2 linked regions of the Kluyveromyces lactis genome follow. The protein of the gene in region 1 purifies or fractionates together with the protein of each later gene. This does not show direct contact. Links are inferred from orthologs where the notes say so. Each region holds a gene or a part of one and is shown in the gene's direction. Other genes may lie near its edges.

Region 1 (4,519 bases):
TCAAAGGGGTGGACCCATGATTTTTGAAAATAAACTTGGTTTTTCTCAAATTGTCGCAGGGCACGCCGCAGCGTGCCCTGTTTTCTGCTGTTGCCTTTCCAGTATCTATCTCATCGCACTTACAAGGAAGAAAAAAAATTTTCTTCCACCGCACATTGCATGCACTTTGAATACACGTAGATGCCATAATTCCATAGTACATACGTCTTACATATCATATATCTCATAAATATATATATATATATATTGGAACTTTTCGAATTAGAGTTTTTCATCAGCTTTTCAGTATTTTTTTTTCGTCAATTTGATTCAACGTTCCTTGTAAGAAGAAGAAGAGGAATTGATTCTTTCCTAGTTTCTTCTCTCACCAGGTTTAACTATCCATTAACGATGTCTTTCTCTGATTTCTCCAAGGTCGAAACCTTGCAAAAGTTGAACACTTTCTTGGCTGACAAGTCTTACATTGAAGGGTATGTGAAATAATTATAGTGGTGGTTTTCCAATGGCATCAAGCAGTTTTTTGAATAAGAGAATTCTTCAAAGTTTACTATTTCAATGATGAACAAATTCTTTGGTCCGTGTTTATGACGGGAAGTAAGACCCCCGGTATGAGTGACAAAGAGACAGTACCTAGACAGTACGATTCTGATTTATCTTTTTTATTGAATTCTCTTTTCAGCAAGCAAGCTTAGCTGCCATACAAAAAAATTTCATTTTTTTGTTCTTTCCATTTTACTAACTAACAATTGCATCAATATAGTACCTCTGCTACTCAAGCTGACGTCTCTGCTTTCAAGGCTTTCCAATCTACTTACCCAGAATTCTCTAGATGGTTCAACCACATTGCTTCCAAGGCTGATCAATTCGAATCCTTGCCAGCTGCTACTTCTACACCAGCTGCTGCTGAAGAAGAAGATGACGATGACGAAGTCGATTTGTTCGGTTCTGACGATGATGTCGATGAAGAAGCTGAACAATTGAAGGCTAAGAGAATCGCTGAATACAACGAAAAGAAGGCTGCTAAGCCAAAGGCTGCTGCTAAGTCTATCGTTACCTTGGATGTTAAGCCATGGGATGACGAAACCGATTTGGAAGAATTGGTTGCCAACGTTAAGAACATCGAAATGGATGGTTTGAACTGGGGTGCTCACCAATGGATTCCAATTGGTTTCGGTATCAAGAAGTTGCAAATTAACATGGTCATCGAAGATGCTAAGGTTTCTCTTGATGAATTGCAACAACTTATCGAAGAAGATGAAGACCACGTCCAATCTACTGATGTTGCTGCTATGCAAAAGTTGTAATTAAACTAATTTAAGTTCTTCACCTTTTTCCCCTTACATAAATGAATAAATAAATATACTATATTTCTCAACGACCCCCTTCGTGCTTTCTTGCTGGACCCGAACCCTTGCTGTCTCTTTTATCCTGTTATGTTCATCTTTCTTTTAGGTTTACAGCCTCTGAGCATCTTAAGAATAGAAATGTGCATAATATAAATGCATATAGATAATTAATTAAACATCATGCTGCATTTAAGGTAAAATATGAGAAAAAAAAACAGGAAAGGCAACAGAAGCCCTACGGTCTAAGTTCGGTTAAAACAGTTTTCGATTACCTGTTTGTCAATTGCCAGCAAGATTCAAGTTTCAAATGAATGGCTCTCATAGTACTGGCCACGATAAGAGAAACAACACAACCGATTTCGAAAAGTTTAATCCCTTTAAGAGCTCTCAGGATGAATCCCTGCATGTAAGCTGGACTTCATTGCAACAAGTGTATCCGAATTTATCATATTATGGGGGACCTACTTTCATTCTTCCGGTTCAGCTCTACTATATCATAGGTACGGCAAAGGGAGCCGTTGTTATCTTTAACAAGAAACAATTCGTTCAATCTGTACTAGCACCATCTTTACCAGATTTTAGATCCAAGGTAACATTTATCGATATAAATCAGGATGGTACCCATGTTTGCGCAGCCTATGAATCCGGTGATATATTCCTGTGGGACTTAAACTCTCAAGTCGATGAAAATTCCGATTCTAATCATCTAGAAGCCGTGCTGCATATTGCTTCTCATAGAGGACATTCCTTTAATGGTCTTAATTTTATCCCGGGGAAACATACCAATATTGCAGTCAGTGATTCTACAGGACATATTGTACTTCACAAGGGTACTAGAAATCATCTTTGGCAATTGGTACCTAGTGCAAAAGAAATCTTGAGGCTGAATCCAATGATAAACCCTTTATTGACTACGCGCATTCGAAGCAACGGTGAAGATTATGATGCTGAACATCTGTTAGCAGTTTTATCTAATCGATCCTTCGCAGTCATATCATTGTCATCGCCAACTTTATCAACTTATCGGCTCATTGAATTGTCACACAAAAACTCGGCCACTTTTGGATATATCTCCTGGAATGACGTCAATCCAAATCAGGTTGCCTTCTCTGTAGATAACCAGTTGAGCCTTGTCGATATCAGGTTTCCGACTTTACAATGGACGTACGAAGCTCCTGAATGCATTTGTAAAGTTGCCTGGCTCACAAATAACATTTTGACTATTTTGCTCTTGTCAAGTAAGCTTCTCGTTTTAAACATAGGTAGTGTTGATACCGATGAGGATCCTGTACTCACTAGTATTGACTTACTTATTCATGAACTGATGGTTCCAGAATCTGAGAACCATTTCGCTACGTTAAATAACACGATTGTTGTGCTCACCAATTACAGTTTAATGGTGGGGAAAATTAACTCATGGTCCGATATTGTCTTACACCATATACATAAAGGAGATTACATTAATGCATTAGGAACCCTAGGTTACTATTTACAAGGTCCATCATTCGATTCGATAACCGCCTTATTACATCTGGAAAAAGACTATCAGAAAAGAATCAGACAAATTGAACCATCGTTTAACAACTTGACACTAGCAACTGTTCAATTTTTACTGAAGAAAGATGATATAAGTTACAGTAAGGTCACTGAAGCTACATCATTGATTTTGGACTTGGGAAGTATTTTCTCAGATGAAAAGATGTATGTGCTTTTAGAACAGGTAGGGGAAGCTTTGATGACCAAACATAACGAAGAATTTCAAGAAATACTTTACGAAAAAATCGTTAACGGGACAGTAACATACCTCTCACCAATACTTTTCAAGGCTGTGATGGAATACACAGTGTCTTCAGGAAATGATAGAAGGTTAGAGACAATTTTATTATCGCTAGACGGTACAACTTTGGATTTGGATTATGCTTTCAAGGTTTGCAAAGAGTTTCGTCTCTACTCTGCACTTTTATATCTCTGGACAACCATTTTGGATGATTATAAAAGTCCCCTAGTGGATATAATATTTTACTTTGCTGGCAAAGAAGAATGTTGTGTAGTTTTTGATGCTAACATTGAAGATAATACCCTTTTCGAGTACATCGAATCAACTTTATTGGGAAAAGTTTATCCAACAGAAAAAAGAGTGCCTTCCAAAAAGATTCTATACCTAAAGAACTTTTATTACAGCTTACTTTTTAGTGGCTCTTCTTTGGAATGGCCACAAGGCTCTGGAAAAAAGCTTTTAACGTGTCCCCTACCAGCAGAAGAACCAGCCTTTCCATATGCTTCCCTTTTAATATCATCAAGTGCGCAAAATTTCTTGCACGTTCTTGATGTCTCATTTGAAGATGTTCTGTTCAATGAATCCCCTCAAAATGGATTTCATTTTACTAGACAACATATAATTGATGTTCTTTTGGACATACAGAAGAATTTCAAAGAAAATCATGTGAAACTTCTTATTGCCCTCTTTGTGTTCAACAATTTGCCAAAGTATTCTCAGTTTATTCGCCTAACCAACACTATCATTGACTCACAAATAGACGTCATATTATCTGCTGATTTGGAAGGATTTGAACAAATTTCTGAAGATTGTCTTGAAGCACTATTGTCTGTTTATTCACCAGATAATATTAACGCCCTAATTGATAAAATGTCAGGAGTGGATTTTTATCGTGTTCGGCTTCTGCTATATAAAAAGGCCGGAAGATATACAGATTATCTTACCTTTATTCTTAGCGATCAACACAGGAATACGAATGGCAATGATATTATTGCAGGTTTGAAACTATGTGATGGTGCTACAGCGAAATCGCCTATCGGTCGAAGTGAAATTTGCGACCTTCTATCAGATACATTTCCGAAGATTATCGAAAATTGTCAAGATCAGCGTTCCCTTGTCTCAATCATAGACTCTTTTGATAGTAGCTTACATGAAAAAATTCTTCTTATTTCTGATCCGTTGACGCTCTTAGGATATCTTCGTATACTTCTGTCTGGGAACTATCATCTATCTGCCCCATTTTTGAAGAAAGCAAGGCCGAAGTATCTATCATTGTTGTATGAAACCGGAGATGCGTCCGGTGTATCACAATGGGTTGACAATATTGACCTTAAAAACATCGAAGTTGAGAGTATTGTAGATATTATTAACGGAAATAGGGATTCGAGAACTTTGA
Region 2 (4,572 bases), about 580 kb from region 1:
ACAAATCATAATCGATCAACTACATGGTAATTTGAGAAAACTAATGAGACACCGTGAAGGTGCCTATGTGGTCGAAGATTTGTTTGTTCTTTATGCCTCTCAAGAACAAAGAAATCAAATGATCAGAGAATTTTGGGGTTCAGAATACGCCGTATTCAGAGAATCTCATAAGGAACTTACGCTCGAAGAAGTTTGTGCTTCCAGCGTAGAAAAGAGAAATATTATCGCTAGAAACTTGATTGGTACCATCACTGCTTCTGTTGAAAAAGGTTCGGCAGGTTTCCAGATTTTACACGCAGCAATGAGGGAATACGTCAAAATCGCCAACGATAAAGAAACATCTGAGTTCATCGAACTTTTAGAAGAGAACTTTGCGGAATTAGTGCATACCCCAGAAGGTGCAGAAGTTGCATCTACTTTAATCGCTAAAGCAAATGCCAAAGAAAGAAAGGGGTTGATAAAGACCTTGAAAGAACATGCAATCAAGTTAATTCAAAATGAACACGGTGCCGTTGTTTTCATAACTTTATTAATGACAGTCGATGATACTGTTCTCGTCTCCAAGGCATTTTCCCCACCAATTAAGGAACATCTTCCAGAATTGATTGTTGATAAATTTGGTAGGAGGCCGCTCTTATTCCTACTTTTAGGATTAGATGGTAAATACTTCGGTCCAAATATGAAGAATGAACTACAAAGATACATTAAGATGTCGGAAACTACTTCCAAGAAGCCATTTGACCAAAGAAGACTTGAATTATTAAAAAGGTTCGCACCAATGATTTTATCTGGCGTAAACGAACACTACAAAACCATTCTAGATGAAAACATCGGTTCTCAATTTGTCGCAGATTTACTCGTTAACGATGATGTCTATGAACAACTTTCAGAGTCTGATCAAAAGTTGTTTGCCGAGCTTGTGGACACCGTCGCCATTTATTTCAAAGGTGACATTTCAGAAGAAGACCACCCTATTAACAAACCATTTTCGGCAAGGTTGCTAAAGTCTCTCATTCAAAATGGTAGATACAACGTGAAAGCAAGAAAACTAGAACCTCTAGAAAAAGTTCAGGGACTTGGTATTCCATTTGCTGAAAAATTTTATGAAGACATCATTGATTCCAGCAACCTACTCGATTGGATCAACAAACCCAACAGTTCTTTTACCATTGTGGCATTGTATGAAGCCTTACATGGGACTGAAGAAGGGGAACAATTCGATCATGATTTGAAAAAAGTGATCAAGAAAATAGAGACGAACGATTCAAACAAGGGTGCTCAACTACTTCTAAAGCTAATGAAGCATTGAGTATGTATAGTCAAGTCGTTATATAGTTTGGCTCTAAAATATGTATATTAAAGATGATATAGCTTCTCATCATTGTGGACGAAGGACGTTCTAGTCTACTATTAAGATTCACACTTCCTTAAATGAGACTATCATCTGCGAACCAGAGATAATACAGCTAAGAACATTTATTCCTCAATTCACTAATTACAGCAGTGGCATTGATGGCTTATGAATGACGATACTAAAGAGAAACCCATTTCAACTGCCTTTGAAGTAACCGATGGATTATATGCTGTTTCACCATTAATCGAGAATGTGCCTCATGAATATGAGTACTCATGTATCGAATATTATGGTCAGCACATCTACCTGGGCTCGACTTCAGGAGCGTTACTACACTATTATGAATTAGATGTTGGAAATTTCACACTGATCTCGGAAGTCAACTTCAATGAAGACAGACCAACAGGAATTGATGGCATAACGCTACTGCCGAAAATTGATAGAGCCTTAGTGTTGTCCGAAGGGAGACTCAAAATGTTTCTCCTGCCTGAATTTGCACCTGCTTCAAATATACCAAGTATTATGAATATAACAGAACTTTCACTTTTGGAGTTCTGTGAGAAAACACAATGTTACTCGTGTTTCTTATACACGAAGAACTTGGTAAAGCGAGTAAGCATAACAAGCAAAGAGATAAAAGTCGAACAGAAGTATAACATCAAGAGAATTAGAAAGGCCATTCCTTCAAAAGACGCAAAACTCCTTATGGCAGCTGTTGATAACTCTTACTCGATAATCCATCTTGAAAATGAGCTGGTAACTCCTTTATTCAAAGTGTCTGAGACAGATGATGAGGAACTCTCACCAATTGTGACAAATTTTGGAAAAAGTGAATATATCGTCACATGTGGAATATCAAATGACCAAAACTGTATGGGACTTATATTAAACGATGATGGAGAAATCACTCACGGTACCGTGGTTATAGAAAATTATCCACTCACAGTTATAGTTGATAATCTGTATGTGCTATCAGAATTACATGGTTCTAAATGCCTTCAAATTCATTTAATAAAAGAAAACAACGACCCAGTAGTTATACAAAATGTTAGAAATCAAACCCCGTTTCATATTACAAAGTTGCAGACTCCTTTCATAACGAGACAGTTTAATAAAGAATTAATTGAAAAACTAAGATATGTCCCTTTAATTGCAGAAGAACTCCAATTTCGAGAAGAACAAGAAAAAGCATATGTGGCCAGACAAATTGCGGTTGAATGCCACATGATTATCTACGGAAAATGTGGTATATATTCTTTATGCCGAAAGCCATTTCTACTCACCATTTCGAGCTATGGCGAAGATACTCTTCCAATTTTGAAGTCTTTCATCACTGAAGAGTCACAAAGCAATTACCAGCTTCTTCAAAAAAGCTACTTGCAGTTCCTTTATGTCTTGCTGTTAACATTACATATGGAACACATTGATAAAGATTTAATCGATGCCTGGCTCAAATATATTGATGTTGCAGATATCAGAGTATTAATTTACCTACTTGGTTTCGACATTTACGGAGATTTGTGGATTCCTAATGGGTTATTAGCATTTTCAAAAAAATTGCATTCATTGAAGCTAGTTCACAAGTGTAATGACGTTCTGAACATCATACAATACTTGAAATTTCAACTAAAAGAAACGTGTTCCGATAGCTTAAAAGATAGTGCGAACGTTTATTTATCGCTCGATTTAATTCTATTACGTGATAACATCGCTAAAGGCAGTTCAAATGTTGATGAATACGAGGCGACTAGTTACCAAGAAATTGCTAAAGAGCTTTCTAAGCATAAAAAAGAACATTCAGAAACTTTAATAGCCATATATGAAAAGACAAAAGAAGTGACCCCATTGCTCGAAATACTAAGACAAACAGATCAAAAAAGGCTCATAAATTACCTGAATACTCATTTCCAAGAGCTACCCGATACTTACTCTAAAGAAATGCTGACTGATGATATTTCATCAGCTTTGAAAGATTATAACGATGACACTGTAAGCGACGTTTTACAATTAATAAACAATTTAAACTTAGATGTGAAAAGACTCATCTCATCCATCGAAGACCCTGATACAAAGGTTCTCTTGCTTGAAAAACTGGGTGCGAGTTCCACCCAAGATTTGACATTTCTTTACGAGTACTATAAAGCTAAACTTACTGTTTTGAACAGCAAGCTAATAGAAAGTTCCAATTTACCAATTACGGAGTACATTACCAACATGACATATAACAAGTCTCCTTTCAAAGAGTATTTGAAAAATAAGCTGGGTGAGAAAAAGGAATATGAGGGTTGCTTCGATGTAGGGACCAAGCTTCTGAAAATAGAAAAGGCTTTAAATATAAAAGAAGGTTCTATTATTGATGATATCGATGCTTCTTTCGTTCTACGAATCATGATCACAGATATCAGTGTATTAAAGGAAAAGATCGGGTTCGAAAAACTACTTGATATATATTTATCACGGAATGATTTTGCTACGGTGGAGTCCTTGTTACAAGCCAACGATAAGGTAGTGCTGAAAGTTATCGATCACTATCTAAGTCTCAACAATACTAGGGTCATTAGTCAATTCCTTAACAAGAATACGTGTTGTATAAACGACTCTGGGCTACTTATAGAAATTTTGGAAAAAATACCCCCAACCATTCAAATATCAGTGTTATCGGGTTTCCTATTTCCGTTACTCAGACGAAAAGACGAATCAACATATAATCTACAGATTAAGAAAGGAATTTTAAGGCATCGTACTCAGAATATAAACAATATCGAACGTTGTTTAGAACTGTGAAATAGTGTGATATATCATTAAGTGCATTGTGAAAATATATACATGAAAAATAGAGGTTAATCTTGTCTATAGGCGATCTGGCTTGTAATCAAGCTGTCAATTCAGAGACTGGTGCCAAACCGGAACAGACTTTTTGCAAAAGTTCTTTTTCAGTTGAAGCCAAGTTGCTTTGTTCTAAACTCTTTCTCACAATTTCGCTATTTTGCAGAAGTTGCTCTCTTTTGTCTTCTGCTTTTGTTAGTTTGGCAAAGTCCTTCTTTGTGTATGGCTTGAGAATGTGGAAACTACCCTTGACGGATTGCTCAAGTTTTTCTAGATCCGGAGAAATTTGGATGTTTTTTGTCAACGGTTCCACCTGCAATTTCAAAATGGAAGCTGGCACGTATTCACCAAAGTTGTCTTTGTTCGCTGTCATACGCTTACTGACGTTCTTT

What was found.
Region 2: the proteins of VPS8 (region 1) and VPS3 purify together in Saccharomyces cerevisiae (affinity purification with western blotting; 6 studies listed by BioGRID, with this or other methods). This does not show direct contact. The link is inferred for Kluyveromyces lactis from reciprocal best matches to the Saccharomyces cerevisiae genes VPS8 and VPS3.

Annotation. Positions count from the first base shown.
Region 1 is NC_006039.1:1,631,138-1,635,656, forward strand, and holds the start of VPS8 (CORVET complex membrane-binding subunit VPS8), read left to right. Parts: upstream 1-1,653; coding exon 1,654-4,519. Other genes in the region: EFB1 (translation elongation factor 1 subunit beta), read left to right, coding at 391-470, 761-1,304. UniProt on the Saccharomyces cerevisiae protein: Required for localization and recycling of the CPY sorting receptor (VPS10) to the late-Golgi compartment. Involved in the retention of proteins to the late-Golgi. Plays an integral role in the complex vacuolar protein sorting process.
Region 2 is NC_006039.1:1,049,793-1,054,364, forward strand, and holds VPS3 (CORVET complex subunit VPS3), read left to right. Parts: upstream 1-1,519; coding exon 1,520-4,138; downstream 4,139-4,572. Other genes in the region: PUF6 (pumilio-family RNA binding domain-containing protein), read left to right, coding at 1-1,309; mitochondrial 37S ribosomal protein mS46 RSM28, read right to left, coding at 4,227-4,572. UniProt on the Saccharomyces cerevisiae protein: Required for sorting and processing of soluble vacuolar proteins, integrity of vacuolar morphology, efficient segregation of vacuolar material into the bud during the cell cycle, acidification of the vacuolar lumen, and assembly of the vacuolar H(+)-ATPase.